4 linked regions of the Caenorhabditis elegans genome follow. The protein of the gene in region 2 interacts with the protein of the main gene of each other region in a pairwise test. Each region holds a gene or a part of one and is shown on either strand. Other genes may lie near its edges.

Evidence for each region.
Region 1: the proteins of ZK849.1 (region 2) and lir-1 interact in a two-hybrid assay, tested with the Caenorhabditis elegans proteins (one large-scale study listed by BioGRID).
Region 3: the proteins of ZK849.1 (region 2) and siah-1 interact in a two-hybrid assay, tested with the Caenorhabditis elegans proteins (one large-scale study listed by BioGRID).
Region 4: the proteins of ZK849.1 (region 2) and vab-19 interact in a two-hybrid assay, tested with the Caenorhabditis elegans proteins (one large-scale study listed by BioGRID).

The regions. Positions count from the first base shown.
Region 1 is NC_003280.10:7,670,238-7,675,036, forward strand, and holds the start of lir-1 (LIn-26 Related), read left to right. Parts: upstream 1-1,767; 5' UTR 1,768-1,805; coding exon 1,806-1,871; intron 1,872-4,626; exon of another isoform or gene 4,627-4,762; intron 4,763-4,799. Other genes in the region: lir-2 (C2H2-type domain-containing protein), read left to right, coding at 242-422, 474-893, 1,473-1,557.
Region 2 is NC_003279.8:14,182,089-14,187,663, reverse strand, and holds ZK849.1 (PDZ domain-containing protein), read left to right. Parts: upstream 1-1,956; 5' UTR 1,957-2,068; coding exon 2,069-2,146; intron 2,147-2,639; coding exon 2,640-2,831; intron 2,832-2,933; coding exon 2,934-3,095; intron 3,096-3,545; coding exon 3,546-3,685; intron 3,686-3,737; coding exon 3,738-3,858; intron 3,859-3,904; coding exon 3,905-3,976; intron 3,977-4,593; coding exon 4,594-4,686; intron 4,687-4,739; coding exon 4,740-4,877; 3' UTR 4,878-5,069; downstream 5,070-5,575. Other genes in the region: gopc-1 (Golgi-associated PDZ and coiled-coil motif-containing protein), read left to right, coding at 1-11, 72-205, 264-402, 815-979, 1,028-1,128, 1,728-1,803.
Region 3 is NC_003282.8:3,742,412-3,747,892, forward strand, and holds siah-1 (E3 ubiquitin-protein ligase siah-1), read left to right. Parts: upstream 1-1,636; 5' UTR 1,637-1,725; coding exon 1,726-1,912; intron 1,913-2,707; coding exon 2,708-2,869; intron 2,870-2,922; coding exon 2,923-3,156; intron 3,157-3,412; coding exon 3,413-3,988; intron 3,989-4,556; coding exon 4,557-4,611; intron 4,612-4,756; coding exon 4,757-4,802; 3' UTR 4,803-4,940; downstream 4,941-5,481.
Region 4 is NC_003280.10:2,441,557-2,446,315, reverse strand, and holds the start of vab-19 (ANK_REP_REGION domain-containing protein), read right to left. Parts: upstream 3,038-4,759; 5' UTR 3,025-3,037; coding exon 2,760-3,024; intron 2,459-2,759; coding exon 2,310-2,458; intron 2,212-2,309; coding exon 2,100-2,211; intron 2,050-2,099; coding exon 1,948-2,049; intron 1,415-1,947; coding exon 1,205-1,414; intron 1,005-1,204; coding exon 859-1,004; intron 810-858; coding exon 675-809; intron 88-674; coding exon 1-87.

The sequences.
Region 1 (4,799 bases), on a different chromosome or scaffold from region 2:
TATATTCTTTTTCGGATTTTTTTCGAATTTCGGAAAATCGATTAAAAAACGAAACAAAAACGAGAAAATTAGATTCACTAAAAAAAGAAGAAATTTCGTTTAAAAAATTTAAAAAATGACCGAAAAACGGAAATTGAGAGATGAAACTAACAATTTTCCTATTTCTCATCAGAAAATTATCACATTAATTTAATTGCAGCTGTTATTTAAATTAAATAAAACATTTTAACCGTTTTTTCAGGTATACCTCGAGCGCCTAGACTCGATACGGTAGAATATTCCAACTATGAACATGAACCTGAAACAGATGAGATTTCTCGAGATGGAACACCATTTTGGTCAACACCAATTCCACCAACTAACAAAGAATTGCCGGTTTCCCCTGTATCACAATTGGACATGACGAATTCAATCAAGAGCAGGTAGAATTAATAAATTAGAATTTTCATTTCATAATTTTTTTTCAATTTCAGAGTGGAACGTGTTGATGTAGAAGTTAAACTGGAACCTTGCAATGACGAAGATGATGAATTTAGTGAAGAAGTTGATGAACAAACTGCTGAATTGGAAGAACAACTAGCAACTGAAGCTATACGGACTGGTTTGGCACTTTTTGGAAAAGTTTCCCCATCTCCAAAACGAATGAAATCATGTGGAAGTTCTGGAAGTGTTTGTGGAGATGTAGTCACAGCGATTTGTGAGATTTGTGGAATTGGAATTCGCCTGAATTCTGGTGGTTCTAAATGGAATTTCTTTGAACACGTAATGATGAAACACTCCACTCATAAACCATTCAAATGTTCCCAATGTCCATATCAAGCTGTACGAAAAGTTCGTGTAAAGCAGCACGGACAATCACAACACAATTCGGAACACGAACCTGTGAATATGATGTGAGTTTTTATTTTGAATTTAAAAAATTTTAAAAAAATTATTTTTTAAAGATTTTAAAAATTGTGCGACAGCTCTTTTTTAGTTGAATCACTAATTCACTGAGATTATTTTTTTTTATCTAATCTCACTCGAAAAGCATGAAAGCCGGTTTCTGTTTTAATTGTATAATTATTTTAAAATGTACGCAATTTGTTTTATAAATTACGAAAATTGCTACTAATGTTGCAGCTGCACCGCAAGATTTTTTTTTTCCATTCTATTTAAAATGGTAATTTTATCCAAATGTGAGGATAAGCCAAAAATTTATTTTTGGCATAAACCCGCAAAAATAGATTTGAAATTTTGAATAAAATGTAAATTTTAGAAATTTTTTTTTCTAGATCATATTTTAGACTAAAAATGTTTCAAAAGAGCATATTTAATTTTTTTTTTAAATTCAATTCTGTCGCAAGATCGCTCCATTAAAAAAAATTAAAAATGTTTGAATAAAATCCAATTCAGACGATGTCCATTTGAAAACTGAATTTAATTCGTTTCATTCCAAAATAAAAAAATCTTACAAAGTCAATTTTTTTCAGAACACCAGAAGTACGAAAAGAATGGCTGGATACAATGGCAAAGTGTTTCCCGAATCATCAATATGGAAAAGAAGCAAAAATTTAATAGTTTCTTTAAATTTTTTTCGTTGATATTTATAATATTTTCTTTTAATTTTAAGTTTTACAACGCAAATTTTGTTCTTACTCGATTTTCAATAAAATCGTCGGTCTTTTTATTATTTGTGGTAATTTCTTTTTTCTTATTTAAATAGTTATTTCTATTTCTGAATATCTTTATCGTGCTCTTGTAATTCCTAATAATATAAATAATATACATAGGTGTCGTCTTCGTACGATTCGAACCCGGCCGGGATGCCGAAATTTGTGGTCATCGAACTGAACGATGATGCAGCAACGATCGATCTTCTCAGTTATTGCGTGAGTTTTTTTATTTATAAAAATTATCTAAAATATTGATTTACTCATTTTCTCTGGTTTGAAACTTTGCATAGAACTTCCAATTGTACCTCTGATTCCTTTTTCGGTCCATATTAACCATTGGTATCCCCTAATTATTCGAATCGACTTCCTAAACAAGGGTGCCGCTGAAAAAATTGTCGGTTTTTTTTGTTGAGAAAATCCAAAAAAATTCACTTTTGAAAAAAAAACGAAAAATTCCGTTTTTTTTTTAAAGAAAAAATCGAAAAAAAATTTGAAAACACTTTTCTTATACGGAATTCAAAATTTAAGTTGATTAAAGTTTTTTTTCAAACAAGTAACCGAGATTTTATTATTTTTTTTGGACTTTACAATTTTTTAAGTGTAATTGAAAATCAATAAAAACTTTTTTTCTGAAAATCGAAAACAAATTTTTTCCGTTTTTTCGCTCTTCCAAAATCCGAAAAAAAGTGCGGTCTGATGCTAACCAAGGATTTCTTTTAAAAAATGTCAATTTTTCTGTTTGAGAAATAATCGAAAATCTAACTTTTTTTTGAGCAATTTTTGTTAAATTTTGATAAATTTCGAAAAATAAATTTTTTAGTTTTTTTGTCTAAAAATGCCAATTTTTTTGAGAGATAATCGAAAAACGAACTTTTTTGGTTTTCCGAAAAAAAAATCAAAATTTAATTTTGTTGAATATAAAACACAAAAGAAAATATAATTTCCTTCTAAAAAAAGCCCAGGCGCTGAAATTTCGAGCAATTTTTGAGAAATTTCGAAAAATCAAAAAACCAAAATTTGTTGAATTTCCAACAAAAAAAACCGAAAAAGCGACACCCTTGATCCTAAAATGTAGGGATTCAACATAACCTATAACTTCTATTCTCTTAGAAATCAGATTTTTGAAGTATAGACTAGCTTGAACATCACTGCAAACATTTTTTTTATATTTCTCCTAAAACCTCTACTCTATCAATGATCTCTCAATTCCAAGCTCTTTCTTTCGCACGATGCTCATTTCGAATTCGACATATATAGCTCCTTTTTTCGGTGCTTCTCCTGTACATAAGAGATCGATGAAATCAATCGTCGTGGCGCTCTCATAAATGTGCAGAAAGGAAGCAAGAGCTGCAGCCAACTGCTGCATCGGCGTCCGTATTTTTTGTTCGCTCTGTTCCCTTTTCCATTTATGCGAGCAACACGGTGATGCTACTTTCATCGACGAGAGATAGTATATGTTGAACGGAGGATTTGAATGTTTCTGTTCACGGAGCAACCGTCCGTTTTCTTTCTCTCAGTATCATCCTCTACCCTTTTTCGAAATATTTCTATATTTGATACTGGAAATTGGTTAATTTTCGCATTTGACAGGTTTGCTCATTTATCGAGATTTTTTAAATCTAAATTCTAAAATCATTAGCGACAATAACTAAAAATATAAATTAATCAATAATTTTCCTGAAACATTAAAATTCCATTTAGTTCTGGTATTTCTGTCCGAACTAATCTTGTAATTGAATAATCTATATTTCATCACAATGTCTTTCTTTTTCTTCTATTCTACGAATACATTTTTGCCTGTACGAGCTCATAATAGAACGCGTTGGCGCCTGCCTCACTTTCAGCATCGTCCGAAGTGTACATACCTCCTGTTCTCCATCATCGTCTTCTCCCATCCCTTTCTCTTTCTCCCATACCGGGTATTGAGCGCCTGTATGCACAATGCACACAACTGACAAAACTGTACTCGTCGCGTCGTTGTCGCCGTTGTCGTGTGCCCCGGCGAGCGCAACCAACAACAAAACTGTGTGAGCGCTGTTAACACCATTTCTTCTATCACCTTCTAAGCATCCCGGTTTGAAAGCGGGTGGTAAGGTGTCCGATATTATAAAACCGCAGCACAATGCTTAGAATGTGTGTGTGTGTGTGTGTGTGTGTGTGTGTGTGTGTGTGTGTGTGGTGTATGCAAATATTGCCGGTGGAGCCGAAGCCATAAAAATCGAGCACATCGTCAGTCTGACGGTATCATTGTGCATCTTTTTTGATACGACTTTTCACTTTTCCGTCACTACACTTAACCTTAAGTCTGCAGACTTCTCTTTTTTCTATAGTATAGACTCTTTATCCCCTTATTACAATAATCGTCTTTACGAGTCCTCATTGCTTCCACTCATTGACTATCCGTACTTATAAAATGAAACTCCTTCTTATTTCTTAATTCTTTGTTCACTTCTACAAGACGCTCTTGACTCCAATTCATTCTCACGCGATTTCGCCCAGTGAGTGTCCGAAATAAGGTCAAATTGTGCATTATGTGAAGTGAGAGTGAAAGGGTCTTCTAAAGTTTTGACCTGGGATACGTCATTCTGAGATTTTATGGTAGGAAGTATTGCTCAAAATCTAGAAGAATTTTTGAATGGTTTTCAAAAAATTATCGACTAATTAAGCAGTTAAAGTACTCGAGTAGAATTTTTTTCGTTGTTTTGAGTTTTTTTTGAAAAGTTAAAAAATGTGCTATCGTTTTCTTTTTAACTCAAAGTAACGTATTACTAAATGTTCCGAAGATCCTGTTAGAGTATCCGTGTCGTCTTTTCTCTCTGAGTTTATGGTATTATGGGAACATTCGCGCACAGTGCGCATTAGTCGTCTCCGTGATCTTTCTCACTCCTCCGTAGCGCATATTATTCCAATCCATGACTTTCTCCTTCTTCATGTCCAAGGAGCGAATGCATATCTCCGTAAAGTCACCCGTCGAGGCCGCAAAGACGTACACCCGCACTTTCGGCTCGCGATGACCTAAATTCTGTGAACGGTTGGACGACGGAAGAAGTTGATGAAATGGTGCGACCTCCTCTCCGCTCTATAAATCGACCCCGATTGGAGCCAATTCAGATGAAATCGTTTTGTGCGCACACACGCTTGTCT
Region 2 (5,575 bases):
ACCTGGATAAGGTAGGCCATCGGGCTTTAAGGCTTTAAGGCTTCAAGGCTTTACATACCCTAATCTTCCAGGAACTCGCAGGCCGGATACAACAAATCCAGCTCCTGGGACGAAACATGCGCGGCGTGGAGCACGACAGGCTCTGGAACCAGCTGGAAGCCGAAATTCACCTCCACAGGCACAAGACAGTGATCCGGGCTTGCAGGTAGGCGGTCACGTTTCCCATGGCCGCTCCCCACTTGAACAATTTGCCATTCTTGCAGAGGACGGGGTAACACGAAGGGATTAACGGCGCCACTTCGTCACAACTTCAAGAGCCTCCGAAAACGAAATGGAGTGGGAAAGAGCAGGAAAGTGGTGCTCTCGAAACACCCGCACGAAGGGCTCGGCATTTCTATTACGGTAGGTGGGGGGACTTGGATGGTTTTGGGCCAGTAGATCATTGACTAGACTTGTTCCTTTGGGGATCCACGGGATCCTGTAAGATCTGAGAGTTGATCCAGTTCCCGTAAGACCAAATGTGCCATCTGATTATGAGGTACTTTTGCACGTGGTGTCAGGCTGTCCCATTGCGGTTTGATCTACAAAAAATGCGGGAATTTTTCTCCCAGTCAGTTGAAAAGTCTGCGTCTCTTTTCCCGCATTTTTTGTAGATCAATGTAGATCAATCTAAAATGAGACACTCTGACAACCCCTGCTTTTGTAGTTCTGCTGCATAGCTCAAAACTACTCCAGATAGTTTGCGGAGCTCCGGATGGATCCTAGTTCTTCAAGATCTTAAAAAATCCTACTGGATCCTAAAATCCATTTCCAGGGAGGATCCGAACACGCTCTACCCATAGTGATATCTGAAATCCAGCCGGGACAGCCTGCTGACCGATGTGGACAGGTCTTTGTGGGCGACGCGATTCTCTCAGTAAACGGCTACGATCTTCGGACTGTCAAGCATCAGGAGGCAGTGGATATTTTGAGTGGGCAGGTAAGATGCTGCCAGGGGCCCTCCACCTACATCCCCTCCAAATTCCAGGTACAGCAAGGCGACCTAGACCTGGAGCTCGTCTTTGTGTGCCCCGATGAGGATAGTGATGATGATGGGACGGTGACGATCGAGCACAGCGATGGATCTATGTGAGTTATTGGGAATTTTTCGGCGGGAAATTTGAATTTCCAGTTAGTTTTTAGCGGGAAATTTAAATATTCAATCGATTTTCAGCTGGAAATTTTGATTTTCTGTTAATTTTTGGCGGGATTTTCATATTGCCAGTTAATTTTAGGCGGGATTTTTAAATTTCCAATTGATTTTGAGCTAGAAATTCAAGTTATAAGTCAGTTTTAGGGAGGAAATTCAAATTCTCAGTTAACATTTAACTGGAAATTTAATTTTTTAGTTAATTTTTCAACTGGAAAATCAAAATTTTGGTCATTTTTCAATAGAAAATTCAAATTTTTTGTCGTTTTACTATAGGAAATTCAAATTTTTAGTCAATTTGCGACAAAAAATTCTAAATTTTCTGTCTATTTTCGGCAAGAAATTCAATTTTTCAGCCTATTTTTTGGGGGAAATTCAACTTTTTAATGAATTTTTCGGCGGGGAATTCCAATTTTTTGTCGTTTTTCTATAGGAAATTCAACCTTTTAGTTAATTTTTCGACGGGAAATTCAAATTTTCGGCCAAATTTCAACAGAAAATTCGAATTCCCAGTCAAATTTTTAAATTTTTGTTTTAGCTACAACCTCTACAGTATGGAAGAGCCCACGTCAAGCCGATCGTCCAACAATTCTGATGAATCACGCAGCACGTGACCTCCAAAATGTGGAATTTTTTGACGGGTTTTATTTAATTTTTTTTTCAAAAAAAAAACTTTTTTTTGTATATTTTCCCGTGACTTTCCTCCTCCCCCTAATTGCCACGTCATTTCCTCCAACTCATTGGATTTTTTTTTGGCTTTTTCCAACTTTTTGCATAAAAATCTTTTATTGTTTGAGTTTATCGATTTTTCTTCCGCAAAAAAATCAATAAATGACGTGTCAACAAATCAATCGTCTTACTGCTGTCTTCAATACGGCAATGTCCAAGGCGCTGGCTTCCGATGAGAAGGACGACTGGATTACCCATTTGAAGGCAATTTCGAATGTTTTTACGCAGGTAATATGATCTTCCGGTCGGGCGGGAATTTGAAAATTCTGGGAGAAATATTGATTTTTTGGAAAAATGTCAGTTTTCCGGCAAATGTCATTCAAAAAATTATTGATTTTTCGTCGCACTCCAACGACACTCCGATATTCCGCTGACTAAAAGTAGGCGTGGTCAGGCGGGAATTTAAAAATTTCGCTTTGAAAATCAGTAAGAAATCATCGATTTTTGTGAAAATTGTTAGCTATCCGGCTCGAAATATCGAAAAACGGTTTGAATTTTGTTTAGTATAAAGTTTCTTTAAAATCCCGGTCGGGCGGTAGTTTAAAAATTTTAGAAAAAATCGATAATGTATCGACTTTTCGGTATCCCGGTACAAAACTGTGGCGGGAATTTGAAAAGTTTCCAATAGTTACTTCAAAACTCCTTTTTCTCGGTTATTGAAAACTTGGCAATGACGAGAAAAATCGATAATTTATTAATTTATCACAAACTATTTTTCCAGGTTTGCACTTTGTCCGCCAGTGAAGAATCCGCTAAGAAATTGGCAATCAAGGAGCGTGAGGAGTGTCTCCAGGAGCTCGTGGAGCTTCGTGCCATAGCTGAAGCCCATGATGACGTCATCCAGCAGTTCCACTTGTTGCTGGCCGCGAATCATCAGGGAGACGCGACTTCCAGGCAGATTTTCAATGATATGGTGAGGGAATGTTGCCTGCCTATACCTACCTAGGTGCCTACAAGTACTAGGCAGGCAGGCACTTTCGTGCCTACCTGCCTACTTCAACGCTTAATATTTCAGAAACAAGAAGTCGGTGACAATATGGAAAGGATCCAGGAGCACCGTCTTGTGGAGGCTAAGCTCAACGTGGAGAAGCGGCGTAACGAGCGGATGGCGAAGCATATCAATGAGGTGTCCAAGAAGAGTGTCATGCATCTCATGGCAACCAGGTTCTACGCAAGGGTACGGTTCTACCTAGTCGATGCACCATGTGGGGTAGAGGTTCAGGTAGCTCTGGTTACCCAAAAATTGGTGATTTCCACTTTGGCCACATTTTTTGCTAGCCTAAACCTCAGCCAAAGCCTACACCCAAACCTAAGCCTTAATCCAAGCTTAAGCCTGAGCTTAATCCTAGGCATAAGCGTAAGCCTAAGCCTAAGCCTTGGTCTAAGCGTAAGCCTAGATCACAGCCTAAGCTTTAGCATAAGCCTAAACCTAAGCCTAAGCCTAATACTAAGCCTACGCCTAAGCCTAAGCCTAAGCCAAAACCCAAGCCAAAGCTTCAGCCTAAACATTTTGTCGATGCACCATGACATTTCCCCCACTTTTTTTCTAGATTTTTGGCCCCTACGCATCATCATTTTTTACATGATCATGTCCCCTCCCCACACTTTCCCATGAGACTCATTACAGGAGCTGGCAGCAATGCGACAGATGATGGATTTGGTGCGCAACGCGGCAACGATCGAGTCGGCCGTCAAATCGAAACTGTGGGACGAGATCGAGAAGGAGAACCGCTTGTTGCGTCTCAACACGCTTTGGCTCATCAATCGGTAGGTGATGGATTTCTGTGGGAACTTGTTGGAGCATCAAAAAATTTTCCAGGATCAACTCGTCGGACCTTGGTGATGCTGCATTTGAGAACGGAGACGATTGGCAGAGCTCTCCGCGGCTCGTGATTCTCATGAGAGAGCATATCAATCAGGGGCTTGGGCTCGAGATTACGGTTGGTGCCGAAAAGCCAAAAAATTTGAAGAAATGGAATTATTCAGGGAGGTTGTGATCAGTTCCGTCCGGTCGTGGTCACTGGGAAGTTGAAGCGGTCGATGGCGGACGATGATCAGGTACAGTACTCCTACAGTACCCCTTTTCCTACAGTACCCTTTCCCTTCCTATAGTACCCCTCCCTACAGTACCCCCTTACTGCAGTTATTTCTCTCTACAGTACCCGTTTCTACAGTACACCCTTACTACAGTACCCCCTGCCTGCAGTACCCCACTTCTACAGTACCCCTCCCTACAGTACCCCTTCCCCAGTACTCCTTTACTACAGTACCCCTGCCTACAGTACCCTTCCTACGGTAACCTTCCAGCAGTACCCCTACCTACAGTACTGCCTCCCTACTGTACCAGTCCTCTATAGTATTCTTTTAGCAGTTCATCCTTATTGCAGTACCCCTTCCTACAGTACCCCTTCCCTAATGTGCCCTTCCCTGCAGTACTCCTTTACTACGGTATTTTCTCCCTACAGTACCCCATTTCTACAGTGCCCCCTCCCTACAGTACCCCCTTCCTACAGTACCGCTCTCTACAGTATCTCTCCCTGTAGTATCCCCTGCCTACAGTACCACTCCCTACAGTATCCTCTCTCAACAGTACCCTATTCCTACATCACCCTCCCTACAGTATCCCTCTCCCTACAGTACTCTCTCCCTACAGTACCCCTACTTCATATTTCCAGCTCCGTGTGAACGACCGTATCTTGGCGATCGATGGGACCTTCGTGACCAACACCACCACCCACGCCGAGGTTATGGAAATGCTCGAGAATGAGGTGAGTTTCGCATTAGAGCGCACTTGTAGCCTTATATAAATTTGAATTTCCAGAGCGCCAAGGATTTCATCTCGCTGATTGTATCGCAATTCGACCCGACCAAGTACCACGAGGCCCATCCAAACGGGAAATGTCACAAATTTGTTAGCACACCAATTTCGGGAAAAGCCGATTCGGGGGAGGATGTCTGAATTGTCTTTTTTTTTTTGGTTGCAAAATTTATTTTTCTCTAATTCTCTCCCTCTCGTACAGTTTATAGACTTGTTTGTGTGTCTCTTTTCGATTTTTTTTTTATTTCTTTTTGTGTTTTGCCGCCAATTTTTTTCGTTCTTCTCATGATTACCCCCCTCTGAACCTTTTTAAAAAATAAAAATCAGCGGCTGTCTACGTCTCAGGGATATCAAATGAGACGGAATTAAAGTGGCTCATTTGAGTTTTATAGGTTTTCGGGGAGAATTGATTCCTGGGAGCTTTTCCTCCACTGCTTTTCATTGCTTTTTTGTTGTGGGAACACTCTGCAACAAATTTGGTGGTGAAAACCTGAAAATTTAGCAATTTTCTCATTGGGGCGCATTTGCAACATACCAATTTGAATTTTCAATAGGAAAACTTGTTTCTCTTGTTTTCACATTAACTTCTATCGATTCCTTTTAAATTTTCGCTGAACCGTGATTTTCCAGCAATTTCGCGGGAATTTGAATTTTTAGTTCGAAATTGCACTTTTTTGGTTTTAGCAAAACTGGTAAATAAATATAACAGTTTAAATTGTTGGTTTTGTTGGAAAATCACAAGAAAAATCGATTTTCCAGTTATTTTCTCATTGGGGCGCGTTTGCATTATGCGGTCCGCGAGAATTTAAATTTTTTAAAAAGAAAACTTGTTTTTCGAA
Region 3 (5,481 bases), on a different chromosome or scaffold from region 2:
CATATGACCAACAGTGCATGACCATCAATTTTTGAAATTTTACTTTAAAAAGGTTATTGGTGCCTGATACGCCTTTCATATAAAATCGCTCTCACCATCCCTTCCCTCCAACCGTCTCTCTCTCTCTCTCTCTCTCTCTCTTCAAAAATCGATTTGATTCATTCTCATTCGCATGTCAGCTGGTAGAGAAACACAGAGACTCTCTTACAAGCCCACACATCTCGTCGTCGGTCTCTCTGTCGTCTCTTCCACCACCCACACTATCCCGGTCAGTCATTCGTTGGTGAAAAGATGTGAAAGAGAGAAAGAGAGAGAGAGAGTACGCACACAGAACGCGTTTTATTTCATATTTTTCTTCCTTTCGCCTCTTTTCTTCGTTTTATTCACTCTCTTATTCGTATTTCTATTGTGTATTTATGCAAAGTAATCGTCGAATTTGAGGGTTTTAATCCTTTTGTTAGGTTTTGAAAATATTATTTAGAGAAAGCTAAAAAAAAGCGAATAGTAAAGTTGTTTTCTTTTGCCAGATTTTGTTGTTGTTCTCTGCTTGCGACTTGATTTATAAAGTGTCTGTGTGGACAATAGAACCTTAAAATTGATACTTCCCGAAAAAATTACCACTTTCTTCATGGATTTCATCACTATTTCGTTTAAGATAACCATAATTTAACTTTTCAGTGATTTTTGTGAATGTATTACATTTTTTTTTGAATGTTTCAAATTTCCATTTTTAGAAAGTCACTTATTCAAATAGTTTGCAATCACGTTTTACTGAATCTAGTATCTATACTAGGTATTCAAGTTCATGAAAATCGGACCTTATCCCTTACTTATCTTATTGATTTTCCTAGCCCATCTCTCATCTTTTGTTCTTGATTGCATTGATTTTAGGCGATTATTTTCAAATTTTAATATAAAATTTTCAAAATTTCCTAGTAAATCTTTAATTAAAAAATTTGAGCCTCAGTTGTTTTTTTTGCACAACTTTCCCGGTAATTTACCGAAAATGAACATTTCCGACAAAACTGCAAACCGGCAAAAAATTTTCACAAACATTTTTCTGCAAATTGTGGTTTTCCACATTTTTTTCTGGAAATTTTAGAAATTTAATTTAAATTGGCAAAATTGTACGCATCCTATGAATGTTCCTACATCTATTTTGAAAAGTAAGCAAGTTCAATGAATGTATCTAAAGAAAACGGGAAAAAAAAACTTTCAAAATGACACTGTTTCAAGTGCTTCCGTCTTATTAAAAAATCCCTCTAAAAATTTCCGGCAAACGGCAAATCGGCAATTTGCCGGAAAAAAATTGCCACGTGGTGTCAAAGTGGCTCATTGCGGTTTGATCTACGTAGATCTACAAACTATGCGGGAGTTGAGACGAAGAGTTCCCAACTGATTTCAAATGGTTAACAATGTGCTGACGTCACATTTTTTGGGCGAAAAATTCCCGCATTTTTTGTAGATCAAATCGTAATGGGACCATGTGAGACCCCGTGCCACTCCTGATTCAACAAACCTATTCTAAAAACTTTACTCTCTTCGTAATTCCTCACAATTTGACCTCCAGCGACTATTTCTCACGTGACAACAACAAAACACTCACAATTCGTTATCACCAACTCACCAATTACAGAGACGACGGGAAGACGGCGGCATCCGCAGACACCGAACCACCCACCACCTCCAACATCGTCGTCCTCGTCATCTCGACTGCCTTCGCTGATGAGTAATCGGAACGGTGGTGGAGGAGGAGGAGACTATCAGGACGTGATCGAGTCTCTTCGTCGTACACAGCTCATCTTTGAGGAGGACGATAATAATAGTAGCGATTCGGCTCCGCAAGCGAATCATCTATCCAGACATCAGACTAGCAATTCTTTAGTCGAAGATATGGTTAATCACTCAAATGGTGAGACTTTTTTGAAAACTTTGAGTCTTGTTTGAAAGCCTGCTCATCCCCGAAACTTAGAAACGGCCCAAAATTAAAGAAAGGACTTAATTGTCCAACGGAATCAAGAGAGTCGGCTTTTGAATTTCTATTGAGTATTATTAATTGAGACATGATTAAAAGATCACTGTTTCAGCATTTCACTTGGTGCCAGAATGTCCTATTTCGGTTTGATCTACGTAGATCTACAAAAAATGCACGAGTTGAGACGCATAGTTCTCATTTTATTTGGCTTAAGAAAGTTTTACGCAAAAAAAGTCCGCGTTTTTTGTAGATCAAACCGTGATGGCAGGGGTTTTTTCTGACACCACGTGATTTTTCCGACACACCACTACCTTCAGCCAGCCAAACCTTTAAGCCGGAGCCCAAATCCCCTGCTTTCTCCAACCATGCGTGCTCACCAGTCATTAGTCCCCCCCCCCACATCCAAAACGACACCAATTAAAGTCACTCAACATTTCCTCTTTACTCCCACCCCCGAGAGAAAACTCGCTATTCTATCTCTGTGTTATAATCGACATATGCATCGTAAAGCGGTGTTTCGGAGCCCCTCCCTAGTTTTTATATACCTGCTGAAAACTCTCTCGGAGAGCTCGCTCGCTTCATGATGATCGCATTTTCCCCCACATGCGTTCTTGCTGCTGCGTAGTGAATGCGCTTATTATTGAGTGTATTGAAAATTGGCTCAATGAGCGAAGTAAGTGTGAAACTATATCTTGGAGCCCAGAACTAGCACCATTAAATTTTACTTTCCAGGCAACCCTCCACCGGTCCCGCCAGGCATCACACAACAGCAATGTCAAATCGGATTGACACCTCGGATGTCGGCATCGCCACCGTCTGCAGTGTCAACAATCTCTGGAACCGCAGTGCTTGGCAAAACGATGGCCAGAGTTCAGAGTAATCCCCCGGGAAGTAGTGAGTTTTTCTTGATTTTCAGAACTGTAACGCTAAAATGTAAAATTTTCCAGTACCGCACAACACAACGACGACCGCGCAAGGAATCCAAAGCGTCGCACCACATATTCCAATCGGCGGCGGTGGAGCCACCGACGACAGCAGTGCAGAGATCTTGTCGGTGTTTGAGTGCCCGGTATGCCTGGAGTACATGCTGCCACCATACATGCAGTGCTCATCCGGACATCTTGTCTGCTCGAACTGCAGACCAAAGCTTCAGTGCTGCCCGACTTGTCGGGGTCCAACTCGTGAGTTTTGAAGTTGAAATTTGAAAATTGCGTGACTAGAAGAGTTTAGTCAAAGCTGAAAAAATTACCACAGCTTGAGCAGAGCTGATATGATAGAAGACTAAGATCCTTTCTGGTTGATCGATCTGTCTCAGTCGAGCGCCTAAGCATTTTAGCTGTGTTGTTTCTCTAATGTAGCTAACGAATCAAGGATCTACGGATCTTCAAAGTTTCAGAGTATATCTCAAATTTCAAGACTAAACCTTCAATCTTACAGCTTCTGTCCGCAACCTGGGCCTCGAGAAGATCGCCAACACCGTCCGCTTTCCATGCAAATTCTCTACGTCCGGCTGCCCCCTGAACTTCCATCACGCTGATAAGACCGAGCACGAGGAGCTCTGCGAATTCCGACCCTACTGCTGCCCGTGCCCTGGAGCTAGCTGCAAGTGGCAGGGAGGCTTGTCGGATGTGATGGAGCATTTGAAGAAGATCCACAAGAGCATCACGACGCTTCAAGGCGAGGATATCGTCTTCCTGGCCACTGACATCAATCTTCCTGGAGCAGTTGACTGGGTTATGATGCAGAGCTGCTTTGACTATAATTTTATGTTGGTGCTCGAGAAGCAGGAAAAGTACGATCCAGCTCAGCCAACTCAGATGTTCTACGCAGTCGTTCAGCTGATTGGCTCGAAGAAGGAAGCTGATAACTTTGTGTACCGGCTTGAGCTATCGGCGAGCCGCCGGAGAATGTCATGGGAAGCCACACCGAGAAGCATCCACGAGGGGGTGGTAGTGGCCATTCAACAGTCGGATTGCCTAGCGTTCGATTCAAATGCTGCACAGCTTTTTGCAGGTGAGCATTGACTTTTGCTTTTATCTTAATCGGAAATTACCAATTTTTGTTAAAACTGAGCTTTCAATTTTTGTTAAAACTGAGCAAAAACAGCTTTTTTTGTGAGTTGACAATTTTTTTGGTAACTTTGTTAGACAAGGGATACAGCTGGAATAGTTGAGTGCATCATGGTGCATCGACCGAAATAGTTTTAACAGCCGATACCCCGGTTAAGTGTGTGAATGCTAACAAAAATGTAACCGCTAAACTATATAAAACACGAGAACAAATATTTTGTGAGTTGGAACTTTTTCGATAGAACCAGAAATCCAAAAAAATTAAGTTTCCTTTGAACATGGTGCATCGACCAAAAATTTCTAAGATTGATAAACTCGGTCAATTTTTGAAGATATTAACAAAGTGTCTATTAAAAAATAAAAATAAAAACCGAAATCCGCAGAGGTTTTTTTGAAAAGTTTTTAAAGTTGGGCGAGATATGGTGCATCGACCTTTAGTAGCAAAATTTTTGTCAGTTCCGGAATATAAACTTTAAAAGTTACCCTCAACAAAAATCAACTTTTTTTTTCAGAAAACGGAAACCTTGGAATCAACGTCACTATTAGCCGAATAGATACTCCACAGAGGTGAGAATTGTATTTAAAAACTTTAAATTCAAGTTTAAATGTTTGAAAATATTTAAAAATTACAAAAAAAACACATTTTTTCAATAAGCCAATTTTAATCTATTTAATTAAAAAAAAAAAAAACTAATAACTGATTTTTTTTCAGGCGCCACCCAAATGAGTTGGAAAATTCTGATCTCGAGTACGACTAGATATGCACAGTGTAAACGTAATAAAATTATTTTTGATTTTTTTCTTCAAAAATGTGATGAAAAGCTTAAAAAATTCAGTTGAAAATCCCCTTACAATCAGAACATTTTAAAAAATTTAAAAATTAAAAAAATTTTTTTTTTGGATTTTTTTTCTGAAAAAAAAACTATATTTTGTTCTAATTTTTTTTTATAATGTAGAATACCCCCCCCCCCCCCCCGCCCCCGCCTCAAAATATTAATTATCTGTATAGCATATCCTTCCATGACTCGGAATGGATAACCACAGAACACTACGGATTTTTTTTCAATTTTTTTTGGTTTATAAATTTCTTTTTTTTTGTATTTTACACTCGATTTACACATTTTACGAGCTTTCCTGTGTTGTTTTATCGATATTTTGTACTTTTTTTTTGTCTCTTGAACCACTTGCGTAATAGCCACATTTTTCTTTCCAATTTTTACGATTTTATACTTTAATCATGTTGAATAAATTTTTTTGAACTTTTTTTGATGGTTAATTGAAATTTTGGAGAAAAAACATTTTTTTTTTCAAAATTAAAGAAATTTAATTCATTCTCAGTTTTTTTTATTTGGAAAATTTGCATCATAACAATTTTTCACAATTTGAGTATTTTCAAAATTTATAACAGAGTGCAAATAAAATTTTAAATAATTTTTA
Region 4 (4,759 bases), on a different chromosome or scaffold from region 2:
CACCGCAATCGATCTGGTGACAATTGGCTTTTGAACCTGATGTGTTGGACTTGGGCTTCCATTTGACAGGGGTTTTACTGGTTCGAACTGGAATTTTTCAAAGTTTTATAATACAGTTTTGTAGAAAAATTAATGCTGATAATTTTTGCAGTTGGAATTTTTTTCCTAGCTATCACGGTTTTTGAGATAATCGCAATTTAAAACTGGGTGAAAGTGGCGCAGTGGCTAACATGGATGCCTGGGACTCAATCGGTGCAAAAAGTGCTCAGTTCAAGGTCGGGCTTTAACAAAACTTTTTTGCATACTGAAATCAAGCTGGGAACAGATTTTCACACAATTTTAACAATTGTTAATAAATTTTTGAAATAGTTGGAAATTCTACAATTTTCAAAAAATTAATATATAGAAAATTTTACGCTGATCCTTTTTGCAGTTGGAAGCTTTTCTCCAGCTATCACGGTTTTCGAGATAACCGCATTTTAAATTAGGGTAGAAGTGGCGCAGTGGCTAACACGGATGGCTGGGACTCAATACGTGCAAGAAGTGCCAAGTTCGAGGCCGGGCTACGGCAAACATTTTTTACATTTTTTTCAATGCCAAATTGTTACAGAATTTTTTTCAAACCATTATTAAGTGAGGAATTTTGAATTTTTTTTTGAAAAAAAAAATCTTACCGCTGAAGCAGGAGCTTGTGGCGGTGGTGAAGTGCTTGTGGATTGTGTCCTTGCAAGCACTTTCTGCCCGTTTTGAGTTTGTGCATATGTGAAATGGCTTTCAACATCGATTGATGGCCCGGCTTGAAGTCCACGCTGTAAACTTTTTACATAAGTTTTTCCTCAATTTTTCTGCAAAACCTACCCTCGGCAACTTTGGCGACGCTGAGAAAAACCGTCTCGAGTGGTGCTCTTGCTCGGGTGGAAGAGCAAATTCTCTGCCACGCCGGAGGCTTGCAAAGTCCCCGGGACCTGTTGAGGGGGCGGTGGAGAATCCACGTGGCAAGTCACCTAAAACAATAAAAAATGTTTAGCCACTGCCGGGGTCGAACCCATGACCCTTTGCTCAGATGACACCCAAAATCGCACTGCGCCATTTGGGCATTTTTTTTAAATTTGAGTTTTTTGAAATTTTTTAAAATATACATTTCAAAGATAATTGTTTTTTTTAATTCCAGAGATAAATTTCAATGTTCAGCCTCTTAATTTACCTTGAGACGGAGCCCTTCTAAAGGTAGGCGTAGGCGTCGGAGGTAGGTCATCATATCGATTATTAGCGAATCTTGACGGCGTCACGTGTCCATTATTTTGTTGATGAAGTCCCAAGTCAATTGGGGTCCCGACACGACTGTCTGGGAATGGCGACTCGGCGTTGCGAGCCCGGATCTCGGAGATTGTCTTGGCAAGCGCGGTGGAGTAGCCTGAAATTTTCTATAGTTAAAGTGATAAGATAGAAAATTTTATTCTGAGCATTTTTGCAGTTGGAAGCTTTTCTCTAGCTATCACGGTTTTCGAGATAATTGAAAAATGATATTGGGTGGAAGTGGCGCAGTGGCTAACACAGATGCCTGGGAATCAATCGGTGCAAAAAGTGCCAAGTTCAAGTCCGGGTAGTGGAGAATAATTTTTGTAGAGCCTAAGTATACTGGAAACAACTTTTTTGTTACGGAAAATGTAACTTTTGCCAGATCAAACATTTTCTCAAGTTTTGAAAATTTCAACAATTTGTTCGAAAGGAAATTTTACGCTGATCATTTTTGCAGTTGAAAATTTTTCGCTAGCTATCACGGTTTTCGAGATAATCGCAATTTTAAACTGGGTAGAAGTGGCGCAGTGGTTAACACAGATGGCTGGTGCCCAATCGCAGAAAAAAGTGGCAAGTTCGACCCCGGGCTCTGGCCAAATTTTTTTGCATTGTTATATCCATCTAAAAATTGTTTTTCAAAAACCTCACCATTTCCAGTGCCATTTGGAGCATTAAATCTCTGAGTTGGCGTGTTACTTCTGCTTCCACTAAACCCTAAATTGATCGGACGGCTTAGCGGAGGTGGTTTAGCTGAAAAATGTAAAAAAAAATTCAGTTTGGAGCTCAGAAAAAGTGCAAACCTTGCTCAAAATGTGCTCTTCTGGGAATTTCCGGTGGTCCTCTGCGATATGTGGTGTAGTCCGAGTTGTAGCCTCCTTGCATTCGGCTTCTGATGTCTTGGACCGTTTTTTTCTGAAAATTTGGAATTTGCAACTAACTTTTTGAAATTCTGATAATTTTTTATTGTCGCGTTGCGGTCGCGTCGCGGTTTTAAATTTTTTCAAGCTCACCTTCTCCACCTCCTTGTGTGGTGCCAGAACATCATCAAAATCGCTCATCAAATTATCCAAGGAGTCGCTGAAAATACTGTTATCCAGCAGTGGGGACATCAAATGTCGGTCTGCTCCATTGCCACGTAGTGTCATATTTGTCGGGGTGCCTGGAAAAGTACTTAATGGGCAATTTTTCAATGTTTCAGACTGATTTTCAAACTAAAAAGACTTAGAAAAAATTATTCGACCCTAGCCGGGATCGAACCCTGGTCATGTGCGTGGGGCCAAAATCCAAAATCCCACTGCGCCATTTGGCCGCTTTTCTCAAAATAGCTCAAAATTACCCGATTTTTCCAATTTTTAAACAGAAATATAGGTTTTAAACTATTTTAAATTTGTTTAAAATAGTTTTGAATAACAAATTTCACGTTTTCTACCACTTTTTAGAGTTTTCGCAAAAAACCTCACCTTGTCTCGACACAAATCCATTGCTAACATTCTGTGCGTAGGAAACGAATCCCAAATCGATATGATATCCATATGGACAACATTTGCACTTGTTCAACGAGTTATTATTCTGATTTTGGTCGCTTCCAGAAGATGGTGACGTCATTGAGTTCGGTGACACGTCACACGAGACCCCTGATGACGTGGAAGTGTCGTTTGGCGGGCTCCGCTTGACAATTGTGGCAGACGTTGAGGCGGAAGACATACTTCCGCCAATATCACGCATTTGTGATGGTTACCTGAAAAATTTTAAATTTTTTTGGGGGGGGGGGGGGGGGGAATGGAAGAAGTAGCAAAAATCGGAGTAGAAAATAAGAGAAAAATTTGAAAATTTGAAGAAAAGACATTAATTTGATGATGGGAGTATGTTTTTTTTAATAATAAAACTTAACAAAAAATTTTGACCCAGCGGGGGATCGAACCCCGGTCTTGTGGGTGCAGCCATAATCCCACTGCGCCATTGGGACACTTTTCAGAAAAATGCTCCAAAATCCAATTTTTTTGAAGATTCAAAGTTAAATTGCAATTTTCATAGTTTAAAACTCTCTAAAACTGTAAGTTAGGGAAAAAAGTGGACTATAAAACATTTTTTTCAAAAATAATTTTTAAAAAGTTTTAAAAAAACTCAGGAAAAGTTGCCCGAAAGTGATTTTCCAATTCAAAAATGGTTTCTACATTACACATCAACAAAACAAAAAAAATTGTCCTCCACCGGGAATCGAACCCAGGTATTGTGCGTGGAGTCAAAAACCAAAATCCCACTGCGCCACTCGGACATTTTTTTGGAAAATGCTCAAAAATAACCGAATTTCAAAATTTCAAAAGGCAAATTTGAATTTCTCAACGTTCTAAGTACGATTTTCACATTTTCAATTAAAAAATCTCGCCGATAAACCGGAAAATATTCAAATTAAGCGGGAAAACTACAATTTTCGGGTAAAACTTGGCGCCTAAAAATGTGAAAAAAAAATATTCCTTGGAGAGAAAAAGATACGTTCTTTCTTTACCCCCTCCTTACAATGAAATCATCTCGTCGTCAATTCAACTTGATTGATAGAAGGCGCGGCGCCAAAATGAGAAAAAGAGACATGAGACGAGAGGGAGAGAGACGCAGACACGTAGTGAAGGACGACTATTCTGATGATAAGGGTGTGGTTTGTCTCACTCATTATGCAAAAATTATTATTACATTTGTATATTTTAGGGTGGAAAAGAAAAATGGAAATTTACATTTCGGCGGAAAAATCCGAGAAATTTCGGTTTTCTTCTGTTAAAATTTGATACAAAACTAAAAACTGGACTAAAATCGTCTAAAACCCAAAATTTAACAACAAAAAAAATCAGTGATTTTGAGCATTTTTCTAAAAAGTGTCCGAGTGGCGCAGTGGGATTTTGGACTTCGGCTCCACGCGCAAGACCGGGGTTCGATTCCCACAAGGGTCTAATATTTTTGTTTTGTCGTTTTGTGAATGAAAATGTAAACAGAATTAATGAAACCCAGCAAAACTGCAGAAATTCTGTAAAAATATTGCCAATTTTCGGGTAAAAATACGCAACACAAAGAATTTCTCTACCCTTATCACAAGATGGGTGGTGATAAAGTGATGGGAGGTTAATTTAGTGATTATATCTGTGATATTGGGTCATTCATCATTCCATGGAAGAGATTGAACCGGAAATTCTACACAAGAAAGCGGAGAATGCGGATCAAAGTAGTGGAGTAAGGATGAATTGAGGAAAACTAAAAACTGCAGAAAAATACGAGGAAAATCGATTTTTTTTCGTAAGTCTGATGGTTTAAAAGACTTAAAAAGACCAATTAGAAAAAAATAAAAATATTTGACCCTAGCGGGGGGTCGAACCCCGGCCTTGTGAGTCGAGCCAAAATCCGAAATCCCACTGCGCCATTCGGACAGTTTTCAGAAAAATGCTCAAACAAGCTCAAAATTTCTAAAAATTCG